3 linked regions of the Oryctolagus cuniculus genome follow. The protein of the gene in region 1 purifies or fractionates together with the protein of each later gene. This does not show direct contact. Links are inferred from orthologs where the notes say so. Each region holds a gene or a part of one and is shown on either strand. Other genes may lie near its edges. The genes, in order: ARID1B, BCL7C and SMARCD2.

The links.
Region 2: the proteins of ARID1B (region 1) and BCL7C purify together in Homo sapiens (affinity purification with mass spectrometry; 4 studies listed by BioGRID and IntAct, counting the BioPlex papers as one, with this or other methods). This does not show direct contact. The link is inferred for Oryctolagus cuniculus from reciprocal best matches to the Homo sapiens genes ARID1B and BCL7C.
Region 3: the proteins of ARID1B (region 1) and SMARCD2 purify together in Homo sapiens (affinity purification with mass spectrometry; 5 studies listed by BioGRID and IntAct, with this or other methods). This does not show direct contact. The link is inferred for Oryctolagus cuniculus from reciprocal best matches to the Homo sapiens genes ARID1B and SMARCD2.

The regions. Positions count from the first base shown.
Region 1 is NC_091436.1:10,836,836-10,844,549, reverse strand, and holds the start of ARID1B (AT-rich interactive domain-containing protein 1B), read left to right. Parts: upstream 1-2,177; 5' UTR 2,178-2,838; coding exon 2,839-4,641; intron 4,642-5,106; exon of another isoform or gene 5,107-5,191; intron 5,192-7,714. UniProt on the Homo sapiens protein: Involved in transcriptional activation and repression of select genes by chromatin remodeling (alteration of DNA-nucleosome topology).
Region 2 is NC_091450.1:6,248,805-6,256,576, reverse strand, and holds the start of BCL7C (B-cell CLL/lymphoma 7 protein family member C), read right to left. Parts: upstream 4,744-7,772; 5' UTR 4,532-4,743; coding exon 4,440-4,531; intron 3,884-4,439; coding exon 3,805-3,883; intron 3,494-3,804; coding exon 3,385-3,493; intron 3,277-3,384; coding exon 3,115-3,276; exon of another isoform or gene 2,889-3,114; intron 2,799-2,888; exon of another isoform or gene 1,937-2,798; coding exon 1,851-1,936; exon of another isoform or gene 1,358-1,850; coding exon of another isoform or gene 1,232-1,357; exon of another isoform or gene 1-1,231. Other genes in the region: CTF1 (cardiotrophin-1), read left to right, coding at 7,667-7,691. UniProt on the Homo sapiens protein: May play an anti-apoptotic role.
Region 3 is NC_091448.1:14,874,319-14,882,090, forward strand, and holds the start of SMARCD2 (SWI/SNF-related matrix-associated actin-dependent regulator of chromatin subfamily D member 2), read left to right. Parts: upstream 1-3,207; 5' UTR 3,208-3,432; coding exon 3,433-3,651; intron 3,652-4,039; exon of another isoform or gene 4,040-4,465; intron 4,466-7,522; coding exon 7,523-7,707; intron 7,708-7,772. UniProt on the Homo sapiens protein: Involved in transcriptional activation and repression of select genes by chromatin remodeling (alteration of DNA-nucleosome topology).

The sequences.
Region 1 (7,714 bases):
AAAATAATGGGTAATCCTCTGGCTAAACATGGCCTAGGAGCACCCTGTGGGTGGGAGGTGGCTTCAGGCCACGGGCAGGGGCTGAGGCTCCCCCTCCTCCTGGTGCTTAGGGAAACTTACTAAAGTTGTCACTGTGGTTGGAAATTCAGACAAGGGGTGTAAAAGTAAGGAACTCATCAGGAAAAAGGCACACGGTGATGTCCGGGATCTTATTTCATCCAAAAGGAAGAAAAAAGTAGAATTGCCATCCAGGGTAACTGAGGCAAGCGACACAGCAGAAATGCTAATCGGTGGGTGAATTCTTGCTTTTGTGAAATGGGAACCTATTTCCTCTCTTTATAACCAACCCCTGACAATTTCCACTTTGTGTAGTAAGTCTTGGGTGCTTAAGTGAAACTATGGTTGGAGAAATAGGATTCCAATGAAGGTGTTTCAGAAAGAGGTCTCAGCCTTCTCCGTGGTAGAAAACACAAAACCAAGTCCTGCGGGCTTTGTGCTGTGTTTCTCTTGCAGGCTGCACTGCCTTCTGTCTGCGTCAGGGTGTGGCATCTGCTGCTGGAGAGGAAGAACTGGCATGTGTCGCCTTTTAGAGCAGGCCCCTGTCATTGTGCTGGGGCCTGGGTTTTACAGGCTCTTGGTCCCAGTCTTCCAGCTGAAGCCTTGCTGAAGCAAACGGAATATACAGAGATTGTGGATTATATGTCGAATTCTCTTTTTAGTTTTGTGATTTTTTTTCTGATATGAAAAAATATTTCTAAGGCCCAGAAGTGAACTTGGCGATTCCCTTTTAGGACTAGTTGTGAAAAGCAGCCAGGACGTACGGCTGAACTTGTAGGAACTGACTTTGATCTAGCTTATCAATCTGAATAAAAGCACTGTATGATTATTTGCATATAGTTTGATTATCAATGTCTGAAGCATAAACAAGATTGATTTTAGAATACATGTATATAGATACATAAAACATTTATATTTGCATATGAAAACTTTAAAATGCAACATATGTGGTTAATACGTATAATTAGTATGTATTTGAATATATAGAGAAAAGCCAGGGAAAAAAATGTCAAAAGGCCCACTAAAAGAGATGTAGTGTTCTCTTGGCACAAACTGATGATTTGGCATGACTTCCTCTTACAGTTCTGTTATTGTCTCTTACCCGTTTTCCAGTTGTTTGGACAGAATGGCAATTTGTTGTTTCTTCTCCAAATAACGACCCTTGGGTGTGCGCCTGGCTCCCCGCCCCCACCAGTCACCAGTAGCTCCGTCTGGCTATCTGTCTCTAGTCAGGTAACATGCTTACACTTGGTCAAGCATACATAACTAGTGCATCCGAAACAAGCCGAAATGCTTGCTATGGAAAGCTGAGGAATGAAATGATTTTGGAAAACTATACTCTACCAAAATCGTGTATCTCATTTCTGGGAGTGTGACCCCTGGAGAGCTGGAGAGTACTTCTTAAGAAGTACTGTTACTAAAGATACTCATAATGATACTAGGTGGTAAACTCATAATAAAAACTGTTGCAATACACAACTGTGTACTATTTCTGCTTTTACATTAGATTGGACTGTTTTATAGTTATTGATCTTGTATTTATATTACATTTAACATCTATTGAGTTTTGTTTCATGTTACTTGGAAAGAAACTTTCTCAAGAGGGTTCTCTGTGCCCGTTACCCTCTGAAATAACGCTGGAAGGTGCTACTACATCACCGGAGGGGGGGGGATTCGACTTTGGACAAATAGTGGCATCTGCGTGGGAAAGCTGTGTGCCGCGTGACCCTCGGCTGCGTGTGCCCGAGACAGAGAGGACACAGGGGTGCGAGCTCTCCCCACAGACTCCTTGCACAGGAATCTAGGGTGCCTTAAAAACAGCCACGTAGCCATTATCTCTGGGGCAGGTGCCGGCATCGGTGAGCATCCATTGAGTACCTGCTGTGTACAGGGCTCTGTGCTCTTCGAACGCGGCTAACCCTCCCCGAAAGCCCTTCCTGAATTCTGCAGTTGGAAGAAGTTGTGGGAATCACGCCGATGGCCAGGAATCAAGGCAGGGAGGCCAACGTTCTGGAAAATTACATAACTCCTGTGAGAGCCAGCGCTTTTGCAGATCGCCCAAATATTTTCTTTCCTCCGTGGGCTCCTCGTCACCTCGGAGGCCCACGGACAACTTCGTGCCCCAGCCCTTCTTCCCTCTTTTGTCTGCTCGCCACAGACTCGTTTTTCCACCTTTGGAGCGTTCCTTTTAGACGCGAAAACAAACACGCGAACGCCCGGTTGGCAAGGAGACGGAGGCACGAGGGGAAAGTGCAGCTCCGGCCGCCTCTCGCCGCCGCGCTCCGAGCGGCTGCCCAGCCGGCCTTGGCCCGGGCCTGCGCGCGGCCCCCGGCCCCCGGCCCCCGGCCCCCGAGGCTGCGCCGGCACGGGCGGGCGGCTGCGGCCCGCGCCGAGTCCAGTCCGCGTTTTGCGAGTGCACAGGAGCAATCAGAGAGAAGTGGGATAATAGTTGCTCCAGCTCGCTCGGCTCCTTCTCGTGCCATGCTGGGCCCGATAGGCTCAGCCGGTCGTGTATTTACCCATATCCGGGTTAGAGAGGAAAAGAGAAAAGTTTCGTTTAAACCTGAACTAAAAACTTTCACCGTGAAAGCACACAGCGGGAGCAGGCCCAGACCGTAAGGCGTGCCCCGGGCCCGGCGCTCCGGCGGGGCCTGCGGAGGGGGAGGGGGCCGGCGGCTTCCCGGCGGGCCGCGTGGATGCGCGCAGGAGGGGCCGCGGCCTGAAAAGTGGGGGTATTGTCTCCCCCCGCCGCCCGCCCGGCCTCGCCACGCCGCGGCGATCATGGCCGCGCGGGCAGCAGCGGCGGCGGCGGCGCGGGCGCGGGCGGGCAGCGGCGAGCGGCGGGCGCCCCCCGGGCCGCGGCCGGCGCCCGGGGCCCGGGACCTGGAGGCGGGGGCGCGCGGCGCGGCGGCGGCACCGGCGGCACCGGGACCCATGCTGGGGGGCGGCGGCGGCGGCGGCCTGAATAATGTGCACCACCACCCCCTGCACCCCCGTCACGAGCTGAACATGGCCCATAACGCGAGCGCCGCGGCCCCGGCCGCCGCCGCCAGCACTAGCAGCGCCAAGAGCGGCGGCTCGGAGGCGGCTCTCAAGGAGGCTGGAAGCGCCGCCGCGCTGTCCTCCTCCTCCTCCTCCTCCGCGGCGGCGGCGGCGGCGGCGTCCTCCTCTTCCTCCTCGTCGGGCCCGGGCTCGGCCATGGAGACGGGGCTGCTCCCCAACCACAAACTGAAAGCCGTTGGCGAGGCCCCCGCCGCACCGCCCCACCACCACCACCACCACCATGCCCACCACCACGACCACCATGCCCACCTCCACCACCACCACCACCATCACCACCACCACCACGCACTACAGCAGCAGCTAAACCAGTTCCAGCAGCAGCAGCAACAGCAGCAGCAGCAGCAGCAGCAACAACATCCCATTTCCAACAACAGCCTGGGCGGCGCGGGCGGCGGCGGCGGCGCGCCTCAGCCGGGCCCCGACATGGAGCAGCCGCAACATGGAGGCGCCAAGGACAGTGCCGCGGGCAGCCAGGCCGACCCCCCGGGCCAGCCGCTGCTGAGCAAGCCGGGCGACGAGGACGACGCGCCGCCCAAGATGGGGGAGCCGGCGGGCGGCCGCTACGAGCACCCGGGCCTGGGCGCCCTGGGCGCGCAGCAGTCGCCGGCCGCCGTGCCCGGGGGCGGCGGCCAGGCGGCCGTCTCGGAGTTTAATAATTACTATGGCAGCGCTGCCCCTGCTAGCGGCGGCCCCGGCGGCCGCGCTGGGCCTTGCTTTGATCAACATGGCGGACAACAAAGCCCCGGGATGGGGATGATGCATTCCGCCTCAGCCGCCGCCGGGGCCCCCAGCAGCATGGACCCCCTGCAGAACTCCCACGAAGGGTACCCCAACAGCCAGTACAACCATTATCCGGGCTACAGCCGGCCCGGCGCGGGCGGCGGCGGCGGCGGCGGCGGAGGCGGAGGAGGAGGAGGAGGCAGCGGAGGAGGAGGAGGAGGAGGAGGAGCAGGAGCAGGAGCAGGAGCAGGAGCGGGAGCTGTGGCGGCGGCGGCCGCGGCGGCGGCAGCAGCAGCAGCAGGAGGCGGCGGCGGCGGCGGCGGCAGCTATGGGGGCTCGTCCTCGGGGTACGGGGTGCTGAGCTCCCCCCGGCAGCAGGGCGGCGGCATGATGATGGGCCCCGGGGGCGGCGGGGCCGCGAGCCTCAGCAAGGCGGCCGCCGGCGCGGCGGCGGGGGGCTTCCAGCGCTTCGCCGGGCAGAACCAGCACCCGTCGGGGGCCACCCCGACCCTCAACCAGCTGCTCACCTCGCCCAGCCCCATGATGCGGAGCTACGGCGGCAGCTACCCCGACTACAGCAGCCCCAGCGCGCCGCCGCCGCCGCCGTCGCAGCCCCAGTCCCAGGCGGCGGCGGCGGCGGGGGCGGCGGCGGGCGGCCAGCAGGCGGCCGCGGGCATGGGCTTGGGCAAGGACATGGGCGCCCAGTATGCCGCTGCCAGCCCGGCCTGGGCGGCCGCGCAACAAAGGAGTCACCCGGCGATGAGTCCCGGCACCCCCGGACCGACCATGGGCAGATCCCAGGTAACCCCCGCGCCGGCCGGGCCTGCTTCCGCCCGGCGGCCTCGCCGCGCCGCGAGCCCGAGTTTCTTTCTTTGCCGCGTACTTTTCCCCAGTTTTCTGGTTGGGGGGCGGCGGGGGCGCGGCGCCCAGGGCCATCTTCGCGGGCGGCCGCCTCCCGCCGAGGTCGGGCGCGCGAGCGTCCGCCCGCCGAGTCCGGGCCGCGCCGTGCGGGCCGCGCAGGGCTTCGCCCGCGGCCGCGGGCCGGGCCGGGCGCTCCGGTGCCCGGTGGACCCGCAGCCTCGCCCCGCCGGCTCTCCCGAGGCGCTGGGGTGGTGACGGGATTCCGAGACAGCGCCCGCGGTCGCGGGAGGCTGTGGGGGCCCGGGGCTGGGTGCGGGGGGCTTTTGTGACGGAATCGGCTCTCCGGGCCGCTGAGGTCTGGGGATGGGGGGGGGGTGTTGACCAGATCTGCCCGGGGAGCGCCCACAGTGTGCCCTCGCTGGGAGAAGAATGAGGAACTTTCTCCCACCTTCAGCCTCGTCCTTCCAGGGCGGCAAGGCGGGGAACACGGGTTAGCCTGGTGACAGCCGAGGGGGTTTTTCCTAGTTGGATAGAGCCCCCCGGAGATCTTCGATGCGGGGATCGAGTTTGAGTGTTTACTAGCAGGGGCGGGGAGAGGGGGGAGAAAAAAATAGAAAGGCGCGATTTACAACGACGTGGAGGCAAAATATCTGAAATCTATCGATTCATTCCCGAGAATAGCCGGGGAAATCCATTATGGGGCTTCGGGCCGGCTGCAAGGAGTCACCTTCAGCGCCGAGGCTGTGTGCAAGGAACACGTTTCCCGACCCATTGAACTTCTCTTGCTCGCGGGCTAGGCATACACGCTGCTCAGCAAATCCAGCAGGAGAGCAGGCCTGTGCAAATGGGGCATTTCGGATCGTGTTTATTGGGGTTTTCTTTCTCCTGCCGTCACCGAAGTCCTCCGGCGCTGTTCCGGAGTGTCCGGCGCGCTGGCTGTTTCTTGCTGGTAGGCTGAGCCTAAAGACTGACTTGATCTCCTTTGCAAGGTTTGGAATTTGAATTGTGGAGGTAAACTGGCTGTAATAGTCTCCAGACAGCTGCCTCTGAGTTGACATCTAATCTGCCATCTGATTGGCTCCCCTCTCACCATTGGGCATTTAGCACTGCTGATGTAAATAGAAGTGCTGAGCAGTACAGTCACAAAAATTCTTGCCACAAATAATAACTGCACTCTATTACAAGCAGATGTAAGCCTGCGTATTATTTAAAGCTTAAACTTGTCGCGCATCACGGTTATTAGTAAGAGGATTCGGCACAGAAAAACATCACACCGTGGTCCAGTCTTGGGCATTCACAAAACTGAGCTCTTTGATGACAATCTTGCAATATGGACACGACATATATCATGGACTACAATTGTAGGTGGACGATAGGGCCAGTGAAAAATAATTCAGCCACAAATTTTACCAATTACAGGGTTTGCTAAGGATATGTATATATATATATATATGCCCTTTATTAATTCAGTTATAAAACATTTGATTTGTGGTAGCACATGTTTAATATAACATTAAAAATTTCAAGATTCTGATGTCCAGCAAATCTTATGGTGACAGGCTTTCAGTGGGATTAAGGCTATGTATTTCTAGTGTTTTGCGTTCTGGCTGTTTTAAAATGTTTGTGAGTGAAGAATTTTAGTTAAAACTGGCATATTTAAAAAGATGAAACGATATCATAATTTTTGCAGAGAACGGTTAATTAAACGGGAAACAATGGGTGTTTCTTTGAAGTACTAAAATCATTTTATATTTTCTTCTTCCTTGGAGGATACAGAAATGCCACAGAATCTTTTTTTCCTCTTGATTGTTTTGTTAGAGCAGGTAACGTAAGGTTTATCTGAACTGCTTACACAATGAGTTAGGAACACTGGATTACAAACGAGTTGTGCTGAGTGTGTTTGTTGCAAATAATTTTTCTTTCATAGACATCTTCATGCTATGCAAGTTTTAAAAATTTTAACCTGTTAGAAGGGAGTAACAGTGGCTGTTATGTATGTTTTTATTTAGTTCATTTAATTTTTTGGAAGGTGTATTTTAGTATTATCTGTTAGAGGAGAGACTTGTCAGAGTGAATGAAGGTCTGGATTTAACAGTCATGCAAATATTAACCTAAACATTGGTGTTCTCTGCCGTCAGATCCTTAGTTAATGGAGTTTTACTTTTAATGAGAATGTTTTCCTGTTCTTGATAGGAAACTTGTGATTTCAGTTTTTGTTTCTTGTTCACATAAAGTACAAACGTTATAAAGAAGACTCCTGTAAACCCTTGTAGTCCATTTTAAAGAGATTTGTGTTGTCAGCCTGCTTTTAAAGGGGCAGTTTAAAATTCACATTTTGCAAACTAGAAACAAATGAAATGAGAGGCAGAGGTAGGTTCATATTATTTCACAGTATCACTTCTTGATGGTGCCAGTCATTTTAAGTATTTTGTTTTCTTGGAATGAGAGTGAATCCATTATGTCCTCAGTGTGACCCTGGAGAATAGCTTTTTTTATTTTGAGGGGGAAAAATGACTGACATATGACCTAGATTCACAGATTGCTTGTAGGTATCTTTCTCTGTAACATGTGGAATATGTTGTGTTCATACTTTCTTTTTTCCCCTCTTCATTTTTGAAGGCTAGTAGTATTTAGTGTTTGTTATGGTAATTAAACTAAGAAACAGTCATTTGTCTGAAATATTAAATTACTGCTTGACTATAGGTCATAAAATACTATTAAATCACATTAAATTATGACTTTTTTGGCTTTTAATAGATTTAGTTTCATTTTTGATTTTAGGAAATGGTTTATATTGGGCAGCAAATGTTTTTGTAATTGGGAACAAAACATAGACATATATTGTAGGGGGAAGGCCTTTTAAAAAAGTGAAATAAGCCATTTTAGGGTTCTGATGGTTACTGGATTTTTTTAAGTATTCAGATAGAGCAGGCTCGAAAGGCGTACTGAGGTCTGCTCACATACACAGGGTTTTATGATGCCCACGTTTCGTTTGGGTTCCATTAATGCTATT
Region 2 (7,772 bases), on another chromosome or scaffold:
CTGCCTGCCCTGGCCAGCCTGGGCTCCGCCACAAGTCCTTCTTAAAGGGCTCCTTCAGGTTCCACTTTGGTCCTCTCTCAACTTGTTTGTTCCCTTTGTTAAATGTAATTTTTTTAAAAAAATGGGGCCAATGTAGGCACAGAGTGAGGGGACTTCATGTTACTGGAAGTTTTCCACAAACCACTGGAGAAGCTGGAGCCAAATTATTGTCCCATTGCTCAGATGAATAAACTGAGGCTTAAGGAGTAAAGAGCCTGTCTAGAGCCACACAGGTCATGAGGAACAGAGCCAGGACCTGAACCAGGGTCTCACTGGAGATCTGCCACATTGAGGGGCTGTCTGAGAGCCCAGCTCACATGCCACCTCCTCAGAGAAGCCTTCTGGGATAAGCCCAGCCCATTTGTTCATTCATTCATTCACAAAGCAGTGCAGGGACTGCTCTGTTCCCAGTGTTGTGCCAGGCAAGGCTGGGGAGCTCATTCTGTCCTCAGGAGCCCACGGGCTTATAGACAGACAGACACGCACACCTGGGATCCCAGACCGCCTGAGCCATGCTAAAGCCCAGGGAAGGAAGTCCAGCCCTGGGCGAAAACTCGGAAAAGGGGGAAATGACTGGACTGACTCAAGGAAGGCTTCTTGGAGGAGGTGGTGACTGAGCTGGGGACCAGGAGGACTCAGCGGGAAATGTGGGCCAGGGCAAAAGGCTACGCCAAGGCAGGGAGCGCTGCGCTCCACTTCCGGGGCGGGGGGGGGGGGCAGGAATGGGCCGGGTCCTTGGACCACGTTGGGGCCTCTATGTTCCTGCATGGGAAATGGAACCATGGGCCTCGCTGCCCAGAGCTTTGAGAACTACTGGGCCCTGGGGCTCTGAGCAGGAAGCAGAGAGGTTCTGGGATTCCCCGGAGAGGGAGGCCAGGGGAGGGGAGGTCAGAGTTGGGGGATGGGGCCGATGGGGGGCGTGGTGCGGAGGCAGGGGCCTGGCTCCCGGTGTGACTACAGCAAGGCCCTCTGGAGCCTCGAGCCTCGATGACCCCATCTGAGAAATGGAGCGAGAGACAAAAGTGCCTGCGGAGCCCCTCCCCAGCCCTGGCGGGAAATGACAGGACACAAAATTACAAAAGGGTCTTTATTTGTAAAAAAAAAAAAAAAAAAAAAAAAAAAAAAAAAATTGCCGAAGGGGCCCCTGGGGCGGCAGGCAGGCAGGACAAGCAGGCTGGCTGGCTGTGGCTTCTCAGGGGTCGGGGGCATTTGGGCAGATGCGCTTGAGTGGGGGGGCGCCCTCCGAGTCCTCTGTGTCCCCCTGGGCTGCCTCAGGGACAGGTGGCACTGGCTCAAAGACGGGGTAAGCTTCGGGGGCCTGGAGAGGAAGGGTGGACAGGCATGAGCCCCACCCGGACCCAGGCGTCCAGCCTCTGAGCCTGGGCTGTCTCTGCAACCACCTCTCGCCACGCCACACCACGCCACACCACGCCCCTCCCCAGACCTAGAAGTCTGCTCAGGGCAGCGACCGACTGCGCCAGGATCGGGCTCTTGCGCTCTCAAGACTGAACCGGGGACTATGTGAGGCTAACTCGACCGGTCAGGGTTTGCTGTCCTTAATGCCTGGGGGTCACCGCGGTTTGCTTATTGGTTTGTTCGTTTGTTTGGTTCAGGCTTTTCATGGTCTGAGGTCGGCCCTGATCCAGCCCTCAGGAAGCTGTCTCTGAAACACCCTTTTCTTTTCTGTCCCCAAGAACCCGGCCGCTAAGGCCCTGGCTGGGTGCTGGGTCCACACCTCCCGCCCGGACCGCACCCGCGCCGGTGCCACGTTCCCTCGAGACCCGGGAGTGCAGCCTTGCGGCCTCTCTCACCTCAGCCTCCAGCAGCTCTGGAACCGGCTCCTCCTTGGTCAGCATGGGGGGTTCGTCCGTGCTGCCTGCAGTTATGCCCCCGGGATCTGGAATGTCAAGTGAACAGTCATTCCCTGAGCAGCCACTCTGTGCCCAGAGGTCAGACTGGGAGAAATGCACGCACGTGCGCGCGCGCACACACACACACAGGCAGCTGGACAGAGAGAAAGGGGCCCAGGACCTGGCTGAAGTCCCAGCCCCAGACTGAAGCAGGAACACTTATGCAGGATCTGCAAAGCGGTGTAGCTTTACCAAGAAAAACACACTTCAGACAAAGGGAACGCAGGGTAGTGAGCACAGGTCCTGGAGTTCAGCGGCCGCCTTCAGATCCTGGCCTTGGGCCGGCTCCTTCCGTCTCTTGGGGCCTCTCCTTAGCCATCCATAACATGGGGCCAGGGGTCGCAGTTGGTGCATGACTCTCGGGAGGAGGAGGCGAGGTAGTACAGCTCAAAGTGTTTGGCACCCAGCACGTGCGCCAGAAATGCCAGTTACTGCTTCTCTATTAGCACAGGTGTCCAGGCTCAGCCCCTAGGCCCAAGCCGTGGCTTTGGTGGCGGGCAGGGCACGGCGCACAGGGGGCCCTCAGCGTCCAGCTCAGGGGGCAGAAGGAGCCACAGCAGGAAAATGAGCCCCACCCGGCCCCCCGCTTCAGGCAGAGCTGTGCTACAGCTGCGGGGCGGCTGGAGCCAGGCTGTGGCCTGGGGAGGCCACGCTGGGCGGGGGTGAACTGGAAGAAAGAGGAGCTGAGGAGCCTCAACCTGAAGACGCTGTGTGAGCTCGGGCGACCGACTTAACCTTGCTGATCTGCCTCCTCAGCTACAAACAGGAAGCAGGGCAGGCTAACCCCTCCGAGGCGGCGAGTCAATGAGATAAAACAGAACAGAGTGTTTGGAAGGCACCTGGCACGCAGTAAGAGCTCAATCAATAGCGCCCGTGAGTAGCTTCGTCTTTTAGTCACTCGACAAACATTGATTGAGCACCTATTATGCGTCCCACTAGACTTGGAGGATGCCGTGAACAAGATCGGGGAGGGCCCGACCTCCAGGAAGCCGACACGAGACGGGGCAGGAAGACAGTATGTGAGCAGCAACTGAAATTGATAGGGAAATGCCAGAGGAGACGGCAGGGGCGGGCACTGTTTCCACGGGGCTCATGGGAGAGGGGCAGGTAGCGGGGTGAGCTGCTGGGCGCAGAGAAGGGGGCTCTGGGTGGCACCTGATCCTACCTCTCTCTTGGCCCAGCCGTGGGGGCTGAGCCTCCTCAGGGACCCCTTCCGGGGCTCCGGCGGGTGACACAGGGCGGCTGGGCTGTGGGGTGCCCCCGGGGCTGGGCTCGGTACCCTTGTGCAGGGAGCCTTCCGAGTGGAAGCTCTGGTTGCTGTTCTCATCTGCAGAAACAAGAGCCCAGAGGGTCGGCCTGAGGCCCCCAGGCCCCTCCTCCAGGTCCCACAGCCACCCCTCCCCGCCCCCGGCAATGCCTGGGCCCCCACACATACCATTGAGATCTAGCAGGATGAGCGGGCCGCCCCCTCGGGGACTGGCACCCCTGCCTCGCCGCTCTCGGCCACGGGATCGCTCTGCCCCGCCACCTGCCCGCCGCCGCTCCTGGGGGTGACAGGGATGAGGATCAGAGCCAGCGTTTCCCGGCAGCCCTGGCAGAGCCCCACGGGGACAAACGGGGAAACTGAGGCACAGAGAAACCCAAGGCCCAGCCAGAGGTGACAGAGGCTGTGCGTGCTGGGTTAGCCTTGCAGGGGGGGGGTCTGGAGCAGGAAAGGGGGAGGGGGAGGGGCAGCCGAGTAATCCTGAACATCTGGGCTGCGGTAGGCACTGGAGGTGGAGGCCAGGGTGGGGAGGAGCTGGGCTGAGACTGCACAGATGCAGGGTCTTGGGGGGTGGGGGGTGGGCTTGCTCACCTCCTCCTGGGGGTCCACCACCGGCACCCACTTGAAGATGCGAAGGGAAGTGTCGCCCACAGTCACCCAACGCTTCTCCCTGTGGGAGGGTGGGGTGCTGGGTCAGAGAGGCCTGAGGGGAGAGGCGCCCCCCCCCCCCGCGCGCACCCGCCTGACCCGCCGCCTCCGCCTCTGCCCCAGGTACCACATCTGCAAGGTGGGGGAGGTGCACGAGGGTTGGGGCGGTTTTGCGAATGAGGCACTGTTGGAGAGAGCGAGCCCAGGGCAAAGATGGGGAGGGGGCGCCCCGGGCACGCCTCGGGGCCATGGCTAGGGCAGAACCCCTCCGGAGGGAGGGGGCCATCCCTGGGGACGCAGCTCGGAGCCCGGGCCATACTTGCAGGAGTGTCAGAGCTTCAGGGGGCGGGGCACGGACGAGGGCTCCCGCCCGGCGAAGGCACGGCTGGGGACCACGCTTTGTAGACCTCCGGGGGTAGCCCGGGGAAGGGAGACGGAGCCCTGGGGATCCCGCGCACAGCTGGTGGCCGGGGGCGCACCTAACACCTGGGGGGCGCAGCTGGCGAGGGGAGGGGAGGCGCGCGAGGGGGCGGTGGTCCCCGCCAGGGTCCCGGCCCCGGCCGCGGGGCAGCGCTCACCATCGCCGGACTTTCTCGATGGTCGCCATCACCTTCTTGATGTCATCCTTGGCCCGGCTCCGGGTCTCAGCCCGTACGGTCCGGCCGGCCATGCTGGCGGCGCTGGGGCCGGGGCCGAGCCCGCGGCGGGGCTGCCTCCCGTCCGGCGGGCTCAGGCTCGGCGCCAGGCCGGGGCGCCGCTCTCGCCGCCCGCCGTCCCCTCCGGGAGTTGGCCGCGCCCTCCCTCGCTCCCCAACGCCTCCGCGAGTCCCCGCCCCGCTTCCTGCCGCCGCGCCCCGCCCCGGCCCGTCCCCGGAGCGGCCGGGCGGCGCGGGTGCCGGAGCCCAGGCCTGGAAGCCGGGCCAGCCCCGCCCCGCCCCGGGCCCGCCCCTTCGGGGGCGCCCGGACGCGCAGCGCCCCCTGTCCGCCGCCGAGAGCGAGCGAGAGTTGGGGGCCCGCTGGCTCGGCGACTTGGACGCGCGCGGCTCCGCCGAGGCGGCGCGTCCAGACCACGTGGGCGCTCGGGTGCACGAGAGGGTCTGGGTGCAGGTGTGCGAACCTGAGACACCGTGTGTGTGTCCCCGGACACCCCCTCCTCCCTCGCCGGGCTGGCTGATTCTACGCTGCCCAACTTAATTCGTTCACCCATTCATTCATTCAACGATCTAGCAGCCCAGTGCCAATTACGCGCCACAGCTGCACACATGAGTGAGTCTCCACCCCCCAGGATGGCTATAGCGAGAACGACAGGCCATACCGAGTGTGGGCGGGCCAGCGGAGCCGCGCGGCCTCCCTTCTGTTTCTGGGGGAGTGGGAATTGGTAGAGACTTTCCCATGAAGCTGAACAAAGACCAGCCCAGGAATCCAGCACGTCAGCACCCAGCAGAAATGCTTAGACAGGAGCACCAAGAGCCGTGAGCTGGGATGTTCACAGCCGCGTTCTTAACAGCCCCGAACCGTAAACGGCTTACCAAGAGGAGACTGGGAAGTGGGTTGCAGCTATTGATACCCAAGACAGAGACCCAGCGGGCAAGAATGCCCGCTGTCCCACTACACCCAGCGACGGGACAAGTCTCCCTCAGCAGATCTTGAGTTTAAGCCAGATACACCACCTGGTTCTATTTCTATGAAGTTCGAAAGCAGATAGGAAAATGTCAGGATTAGGAAGCCGGGAGGGTGTCTCTTTCGGGACTGGGAGGGGTCCCAGAGGGGCTTCTGGGAACCCATCATGTCTGTTTCCTAATGTGGCCCGGGCTCCCTGGGCAAAGTTCCTCTGAAAATTCATCAAGCTGGGCGCTGGGGATGTGTGCGTTTCTCCATCTGTGTTTTGCAGTTGACTCAGAAGTTTCCTTGCAGAAAATGATTGGTTGATTCGAAGGCTCCTTTATCAGCAGATCTGATCGTGTCTAAATCGGTGCAGCTGTGTGTGGCTGTCCTGTCTCTGACCCTGTCCAGAGGGGTTACAGGATTGGGAAGACAGCCTTGACAGCATTTCAGGAGCTGGCCCGCCATGGTAAACATCCCGGGTCAGCCACACCCCGTTACGTGAACTCGGACAAGCCACTTATATCTACTTCCTCAACTAAAACTTGGCAGTAACTTAATATGCACTTAGAACAGTGGTCAGCACGTAGTAAAAGACCTCAATAAAAATTTACTGTTGGGGTCGGCACTGTGGTGCAGCGGGGTTAAGCCTCCGCCTGCAGTGCCGGCATCACATATGGGTGCCTGTGCAGAGTCCCAGCTCCTCCACTTCCCGATCCAGCTCCCTGCTGATATACGTGGGGAAGCAACAGAAGGCGGTGCAAGTCCTTGGGCCCCTGCATCCATGTGGAAGACCTGGAAGAAGCTCCAAGCTCCTGGCTTTGGCCTGTCCCAGCCCTGGCCATTGCAGCCATTCGGGGAGTGAACCAGCAGATGGAAGATCTCTCTCTCTCTCTCTCTCTCTCCCTCTCCCTCTCCTTCTCCCTCTCCCTCTCTGTAACTCTGCCTTTCAAATAAATAATTTTTTTAAAAAAATTGCTGTTATTGGAGCTGGCACTGTGGTGTAGTGGGTAAAGCCACTGCCTGCAGTGCCAGCATTCCATATGGGCACCAGTTCGAGACCCGGCTGCTCCACTTCCGATCCAGCTCTCTGCTGTGGCCTGGGAAAGCAGTAGAAGATGGCCCACATGCTTGGGCCCCTGCGCCCACATGGGAGATCTGGAAGAAGCTCCTGGCTTCTTCAACTCTGGCTGTTGAGGCCAACTGGGGAGTGAACCAACGGATAGAAGACCTCTCTCTCTGTCTCTCTGTCTCTGTCTCTCTGTCTCTGCCTCTCCTTCTCTCTGTGTGTAACTCTGACTTTCAAATAAATAAATAACTCTTAAAAAAAATCGCTGTTACTAAGGGTGTCATTGTGACACGGGTCACAGTCCGGTTTCAGTTGCACCTGCTGGGCCCTCTGCTGGTTACTTCTCTTCCTCCTTTCTGCCGGAGAGCTCTGCTCAAGCCAATATCCTCAGTGACACACGCACCTCCTTCTCAGTCCGGCTGCTCCCAACTGTAGTCAGACTGTGAGCCCCGCAGGAGGCTAGAATCCAAAAGTGAGTGTGGCGCCTGTCTGTCCCACACCCGGACAGAGGCAGCACCTGGTTCAGGTTAATGGGGTTGACTTTCGGGTGTGTCCAGATTTCCAGGGAGAGGAGATGTAGGAGGGGGCGGGGTCTGTCCTGGGTCCCCAAGGTTAAGGCGAGGTGGAACGTCTGCCTCCCTCCTGGGAGGTGTGCCGGGCAGCCAGGAAGGCATCTTTAGCGGAGCAGAAAGGTGTCTGTCTGGACAAGTGCGCCCCAAGCCAGAGGCCCCCACGGCACCCAGCCCCCAGCCCAGAGGGAGGGCCTGTGCATTCTTGTCCTGCCAGCCCCAAAGCAGCCCGGGCGCCAAGCCCTGCCTCCCCCTGCCTCCCCCCGCCTCTCCCCGCCTCCCCCCGCAGCAGGACACAGGGTGGCCTCCCAGGCCCCGAAACCCCCAGTCCCGAGCTCCGGAGCCCATCCTGAAGACCGCCTGCCTGCCCCTTCCACCCGACCAGGCTGCGCAGGCGGGGGATCTGAGCTCAGGGCCGAAGAATCTTGCTTGGAAGTGGAGGGGGGTCATGTTTGGGGTCTGGGCGCTGATTGGCTGCGCCCGGGCCACGCCCCTACCCCTTTCCCCACTTCCCCCCCCCCTCGGAAGGGGGGCGTGGAGGGAACCGGGATCAACCAGGGGCCAGCATGAGCCGGAGGGAGGGAAGTCTGGGTAAGGGGCTGTGAGGGACCTGACGCTGGGTCCCTGAAGGGCGCAGGAGCCAGCAGGGTTGGAAGTTGGGGTCTGGGGCTC
Region 3 (7,772 bases), on another chromosome or scaffold:
CGTGTCCAGAGGTTGCAGGAAGTCCCTCTCTGGACTGTCAGGGTGGCACCATGGAAGGTCTCAGTAAAAGTTGCTGAATGAAATCCCTGAAAAGTGGGCACTGAGTATCAAAGAGGAAGGGAGGAGAAAAAAAGGCATTCCAGGCTGAGGGAGCAAGGGCGTGGGAATGCTGCCTCCATGACACTGGGTCCTGTAGTTGGCCACACCGTTAAGTCCCAAGAGGACTGCAGTAGGAGTGCCGTCTCCTCCCCTTGTTCCCACATCTATTTTCTATGGCCAGCTCATTTCACAAGGTCCCGGATTGTTCTGAAGTGAAACATCAGGTCCCATTTGCCTACTGCGTGACTACCAATAGCATCTCGCTGATTAGTCAGGACCTGCCTACCAACCTCTTTTTCTCTGAGTCTCCATGAAACTTGCTTTTTCAGTTTGAACATTATTTCTTTGCAAGTAATAACAGACCAGACACACAACTACCAACAAACTGATAAAGAATGGTTAAATTCCTGAATCGTAGATTCTAGAGCCGGACTGGAACCAGACTAGAATCCTAGTGCCATCATAGTGAGAGTGATCAAGTGGCTGAATCTCTCTGCCTTGATTTCTAAAATATAAGTAAATATAGTGTCTGCCTCATATGTGTTATGACAATTAAATGAGCTAACATGCTCAATAAATGTTAGCTATTAAATTTCTTTTTTCAGGGCTGACGCCATGGCTCACTTGGTTAATCCTCCACCTGCGGCACCAGCATCCCATATGGACACCGGGTTCTAGTCCCGGTTGCTCCTCTTCCAGTCCAGCTCTCTGCTGTGGCCCGGGGAGCCAGTGGAGGATGACCCAAGTCCTTGGGCCCTGCACCCACATGAGAGACCAGGAGGAAGCATCTGGCTCCTGGCTTTGGATCAGCGCAGCACCAGCCATAGCAGCCATTTGGGGGGTATTTTACCATATCAACTCACTATTGACATTATCTGTCACTCTCCCACTACACTCAAGCATCATTTGTCCACACACATCTGTTGAGTAGATTATAACAATTATCAATAGAGACACAGTATATGTCCAAAATAATTGAAAACAGATACTCAAAGAAACACAGGTACACACATGTGCATAATAGCATTAGTCACAATAGCCAGGAAACAGATACAACTCTGATGTCTATCAATGGATAAACTAATTGTGGTATATACATAAAATGGGCTATTACTCAGCCATAAAAAGAAATGAAGCATTGCTACATGCTACAACATGGATGAACCTCAAAAACATAATGCTAAAGGAAGAAAGCCACAAGTTATGATTCCGTTTATATGAAATAGCCACAATAGATAACGCTATAGAGTCAGAATGAAGATTGGTGGATGCCAGGGATTGGGAGGAAGGAGCGAATAGGGAGCAGCTATTTAAATGGTATTCTTCTGGGGAAATAAAAATGTTTTAGAAGTAGACAGAGATGCTGGTTACACAACATTGTGAATGTAATGCCACTGAACTGTTCACTTTCAAATAGATAATTTTTACATGAATCTCACCTCAATAGAGAAAGTTTGTTCCTGCCTTCATAAAGTTTATATTTTTAGTGGGTGCACCAGATCAGACAATACGTCAGTACACACATAAAAAAGTAATTACATAGCTGGTGGGAAGTAAAGTAAGGGGAGAGAGAAGAAAAGTTAAGGAAGAGCTGGGAGCATAGAGCATCTGAGAAGGGAAGGGGCCTGGCGGTTTGAGAAACTGCAGGGCTACCAGCTGGCTGGCACTTAACCAATGGCAGTGATTTAAAATGAGCCGCCCAAGGAGGAAGCTGTAAGCCGGTTCTTCGGAGCCTTACGTATCCTGGGAGGGAGTACGGCATTCAATTTAAGGGCACTGGGGACCTGGGGAGTTTTAAGTAACAGATTAATGCGACCTGATTATATTTAACAATGTTTTTAAATGCACTTAATAGTTATTTCTTTTCTACAGTAGTTCTCATCAAGGGGTATTAGAATTACCTAACTTATTTTTAAAATGCAACGCTGGAGGTCATTGGTTTGGAGGTATGGCTGGCAGGGATATTTTGGAATGGCCACCACTTCCTCAAGAACTACCGCTGGTCTGGAAGCTTCAGAGTTGGAGGGGACATTCGCTGCCTTATCACGAAGCCTTGCTGGGGTAGAAAGGGGCATGGTTTGATGGCTGTAACTGTCACAGTTGCAGGGGTCTGTCCCCATACTGACAGGTGGCCAACTTTTAGGGAGGAAGAGGAGAGGGATCTTAGATGCAGGAAAGCAGAGCAGCAGGGCTTGTCACCTAAGGAATGCTACAGAGGTACGAGTGGGAACTAATTTCTAACAGAGGGTTGGAGGACTGCCGCGGCCCCAGTGAGCCATAATCTGCATTTATAATGAGAGCCCGGGTGTGCTGTATGCTCATTAAAGTCTAAGCACTGGTCTATGTCCTGGGGAGACCCCACATGAGGGTGGGGGGCGGGTTAGGAACCTGGCACAGCTGAAGCGTTTATTTGGAATACCTTCTGATACAGGTCAGTAGTACCGAACGTTTGAAGATAAAGTGCTATAAATACTGGAGACAGAACTTGTTTAACTGGGGGGTGGGGGGGCGCTTCTCAGGGCAAATTTCCTTCGCCGAGAACCATTTCCTGTGGAGTCAAGTACCAGGCTTCTTTAAAATGAGACAGAGCCATGTTAAAAATGTGCGATAAGAACCGGGCGCTAGGCCAAGTCAACGGTTCACACAGCTGGCCTGGGCCTGGCGCCGTCCAGGTCAGAGGGCGGCCCCAGGCCGAGTCTTCAACGCTGAACTGTATAAAGACTCAACAGAAGTAGTTTGAGGGGGAGTAGCGGACTAATCCGCTTTAGTGGCTACACCCGAGCTAGCAGAGCCCAGGACCTCGCTGACCTTCGACTTCTGACCCCCCGCCTCACTCGGCACTTCCGTTCGCACTTCCGCTCCCGCCTCTCCGCGAAGGGCGGGCCCACGGGTTGTGGGCGGTACCCTAGGCCGGCGGTTAGGGGCGGTGCCTGCTAGGGGTGCGTCTCGCGAGGGCGGGATTTGAGGAGGCAGTCTCGCATTGGACTGCGAGGGAGGGGCGGGGCCGAGTGCTGCCTGGGTGGGGCGGGGCCGGGAGTTAGTCGCCGCCTTTGGGTAACCGGACTCTGGTGGCCAAACCTCCCGAGGCCGGGGGCGGCAGGCGGGCCCGCAGCCTATCCCGGATCCGGAATCTCCCGGGCCAGGAGCGGAATCGGGGTCGGCCCTGGCCCAGACCAGGCCAGAAAGGAACTCGCGAACTTGGATTAGGAAATCCCGGATCCCGGATCCACAAAGCCCGGAACCCGGAATTAGGATCGGAAAGTCCCGGATCGCGGAGCGCAGCGCGCGGAGCGGACTCGACGCGGAGCCCGGAGGCCGGGACGGGACGGAGCGATGTCGGGCCGTGGCGCGGGCGGGTTCCCGCTGCCCCCGCTGAGCCCTGGCGGCGGCGGCGCCGTGGCAGCCGCCCTGGGAGCGCCGCCTCCCCCGGCGGGACCCGGCATGCTGCCGGGCCCGGCGCTCCGGGGCCCGGGGCCGGCTGGCGGCGTGGGGGGCCCTGGGGCCGCCGCCTTCCGCCCCATGGGCCCCGCGGGCCCCGCGGCGCAGTACCAGGTGAGGAGAGAGGAGCGAGGGCGCCTCGAGTGGGGCCCCTGGGGGAGCCCCCTGGACCGGGGGCGCAGGACTCTGCGGCAGGAGCTCGCTGGGGCCGGGGAGGGCCCGGCGGGGGCCCTCTGGCCGCGGCTCGGTTATGGCGGTGGCGGAGTGCGAGGGGGCTCCGAGGGCTTCCTTGGCGCGGGCGCTGCGAGTAACTGAGCGATGGAGTTGTGGGAGGCGGCGAACCGTGGCCGAGCAGCCCGTGTCCGGGGTTCCCGGGATGTGATGGGAAAGTTTCGGACAAGGCTCCCACCGCGCGACCGGGGTTACCCTGCGTTGGCCTTGGTCCTGTTCCAAGTCTGCCCTGTTTTTTCTCGTTGGGAACTGGCAGGGCTGGAGCATGTCTGAGATGGCTCCCAGCTGCTAAGGAGGCGGCAGGAGGCCTGGCTTCCCACCGCCAGGGAGGCTGAGGTTGGGGCCGGGGGAGTCCAGCCTGTGTGTGCAGGGGCAGACCCAGGAGCTTTTCACTGGATTTGACTCCGGGTTAGACCAGAGGCGGTGGCGAGCCGGCTGGAGGGAGGACCCAGCCCAGTGAGAGACCATCGCGCGCAGACCGTGTCCTGGGCTCTCTGCTTGGCGGCGTCCTGGTGGCGGGAGGTTGAGTGGAGGAGCCGGGCTGGGGCTGCAGGAGTTTGCTTCCCAGCGCTGTCCCGACGCCTGCGGGTTGACGTCCGAGAGAGGCTCACGTTGCAGCGCGAAAGGCCACCGAGAGGCAGAGCCGCGACGGTCCTTACGGCGGGCGTGTGAGCACTCGGTCTGGCCCTGCTGCGGGGTTGGTCTCCCGGTCCGTTATTTTAGGTTGCCCCAAATGCTTAGGAATTATACCTGTCTTTTTTTTTCCCCCTGCCCTCTCCGATTTACTTGGCCTCCGGGTTCTGACAACCCCGCATCCTAACCCATGCACCCTGCGTTTGCCGCTTGCTGGTCTCCCAAGGTCTCTTCCCTCATTGTGTCTCCCAGCCAGGGGTCCCAGAGGGTCCTCAGGGAGTGTCCTCCAGGACCCCCGAGCTCTCACATCCCCGGGCGATGCCTACTGGGGACAGTGAATTTTGTATTCCCTTATTCCCTCTCCTTCGTAAAAGAAAACAGGGTGAGGGTGTGTGCAGAGGGAGACCTGGTCCCAGGGGCCCCGCTGGGGCTCCTCCTCTCCTATCTTGCTCTACTCCCTAGGGGACTCCTGGACTCAGGGTGTGGCTGAGGGGTCCCTGCATCAGTTACTCCAGCCCTCGGGCCTGTTTGCTGAGACCTGGCCCGGGAACCTCTGGGCCTTTGGCCTTGGAGGGACCTGGAACAGACAATGCGGCCCTTGGGAAGAGTGCCCATGCCCCTGAGAGGATGGCAGTGGCCAGGCCTAGCTGCGTGGCTGTGGGCCACTAGGAGTGGCACTGAGGCTGGCTTTCCTGGCCACCACTTTGTCCTCCTCCCCTCCGGAGAGATGGGAAGGGGAACCTGGCCCCCCGGGCTGAGTCAGGTCCCGTTGTGTGACTTCAGGAGAAGGGACTTGAGGGTTCCTGTCTGTCAGCACTCGCAGAGGGAGCTAAGAGCAAGGAGTCGAGGCCCACGCCGGGCAGGTAGGGAGCCTGTGGAAGGAAGGGCTGTGATGCCCCCTCCCTCCAGAGGGGGCCTGGTGGTCACCGCCAGCAGAGAAGCTCAAGGCCAAACCTCGGGTGCTGGCTTTGCTCTAGAGAACTCAGGATGCCCCGCTGACACCCTGAGCAGCAGGGCCACAGCTCAGGGGCGGGGCACCGCGTGCTCACCTGGCGGCTCAGCAGAGGGGCCGGCCTTGGAACAGCTGGTGTGGGGGACGGGTGATGCGGTCACTGCACACTTTCGGGGTTCAGGGGGCCCCACCAGGCCTGCCTCACCCTGTTTCATGTCAGGAGTCAGGGAGGGTGAGAGTTTTGGGCTGTAGGTTGTAGGTCTTTTTTTAGAATTCCTGAGTTGTTTTTTGAAGGGGTTGGAATTACTGGTGCTTCAAAGCCCAGGTGTGGAGCTTGGCAAGGCTGAACTGGGACTCCAGCTGCGAAGCAGCCTTTCCCTGGGGCCCAGGGTGAGCCGGGGGCCCTGAGCCCGGCACGGGACCTGCTCCAGGTCCTGCCTGTGCGCCTTGTCCTTGTCCTGGGACTTCCTGTCTCCGGAGCACCTGCTCAGGAGGGCTAGGTGGTGGTGCAGGCTTGGTGAGCGCCCTAGTGAGTGGCTTTGTGGGGACCGCAGGGCCCTAGCTCGCCCCTGCAATTGCTGCTTGCTCCCTTGTCTCAGGCACTGGAAAAAAAAAAGTTGCAGTCTGGGACATGTGTGGGGCCTGGGCTTACAGCTGCGGCCACATTGAGTGCTGCCCCCTCCCCCCCCATCTCTGGCTGTGGCTCATTAAAGCGGAGAAGTAGGTTGTCTTGCTTTCAACAGCTCTAATGAATCCCTTCCTGATGGAGCGAGGCTGCGGCAGGACTCCCGATCCCAGAGCCCCCCGCTCTGCTCTCACCTCTTGGTTCTCACTCCGCCCTTCCCCCCACAGCTCTGGGGTGTGTTCCTGTGCGTCTGGTCAAGTATCTGACCCTCTGTGCTGGGAACATGGGTTGCGGGCTGGAAGGAGAGGTTGGGGAGAATCGTCTCCACGATGCTGGCGTGGGGGAGGGTCCTGTGATCTGGGGTGAGTCTCCACCCAGCCCAGCTCGGCTGGCTGGTTGTGCTCGTTGCATAATCTGGGCCCCGGGGCCAGCCCTGTGAAGCTGCCAGGGACAGTGTGTGCAAGGCAGAGCTGCCAAACAGGCCTTGCAGGCAGCAGCCGTGGAGAAGGGGGCTGGGGGCAGAGGTTACTCCCAGATGGGCGCCACAGAAATGTTGGGGAGCTGGGCTTGGGTGGGAAATCCTTCTGCAGACTCTGAAGCGGCTCTCTGCCACCCGGATTCCTGCTGCGGACGCTTTCTTGACTCTGACCCTTGCATCCAGGATAATCTCCCCATCCTCTAGCTTGGGATTGCTAGGGCTCAGATGAACTCGAGCCAGTCCTGGCTGCCAGGTAGTGCCTGGACCACAGATGCCAGCTGCTCTCACTCCCACAGGCGCCGCAGTTCCCCTTTCGGGTCTTCTGGCACCGGGGTGTGGGTGAGACAGTGGGGAGGCAAGAGAAGAGTCCAGTTCCCGGCTGTGGGTAGGGCCATATGGTGACCAGATGGTCTGCACGCTGTGCTGGAGGCCACCCCCACTGGCTGAGCCACGTCCAGTCCATCCTCCTGCAGTTGCTTACCCGGGGTGCTGCTGCCTCCTGGGTTTACCAGGCCCCCGGCTGCCTCTCTCCCTCGGTCACAGCACAGGCATTGGGGCTCTGCCTTGTCAACCTGCTTAGATCCAAGTATCTCCCTCAGCCTGGCTGTGCCACTGCCTCCAGACTTCCCGTGCCGTACTTGCACCCTGAGATGGGTTCAGACAAGGAAGGGGATGCTTAGTGGGATCCTCTGAGGGTCTCAAGTGTGCCTCAAAGCTGGCTGGTCCCGGGAGTGGGCATAGCATGCCAAGGCTAGAAGGTGGCTGTGGACCCAGGAAAGCTCCCTAGGCCCGTCCCTCTGTAAGCAGGGTTCTCCTCCCACCCCTGGGCTCATTTGCTAGCAGAGCTGCCAGGCGGGGGCGGGGTGGGGCGGGGCAGGGCAGGGCAGGGCAGGTGTGGTTTACGCCCTGCTCTCAGGCACCTGCTCTCCTTTGTTCTGGCACTCCAGCGGGGCTGTGTGTGCTGCTCAGGGCTGGGCTAGCAGGGTGGAGGATGGACGGCATGGGCTGCTGGCCCCGCAGTGCCCCGCCACTGACCTATGCGCCCCCACTGGCCCACTTCCCCCAGCGGCCTGGCATGTCACCAGGGAGCCGGATGCCCATGGCTGGCTTACAGGTGGGACCCCCTGCTGGCTCCCCGTTTGGCACAGCGGCTCCACTGCGACCCGGCATGCCACCCACCATGATGGATCCATTCCGAAAACGCCTGCTCGTGCCCCAGGCCCAGCCTCCGATGCCTGCCCAGCGCCGAGGGTAAGACCATCCATTTTTCTCTTCCTGGTTAGCCAGCTCTAGCGGTGGCTGAGGGCTTTCTAGGG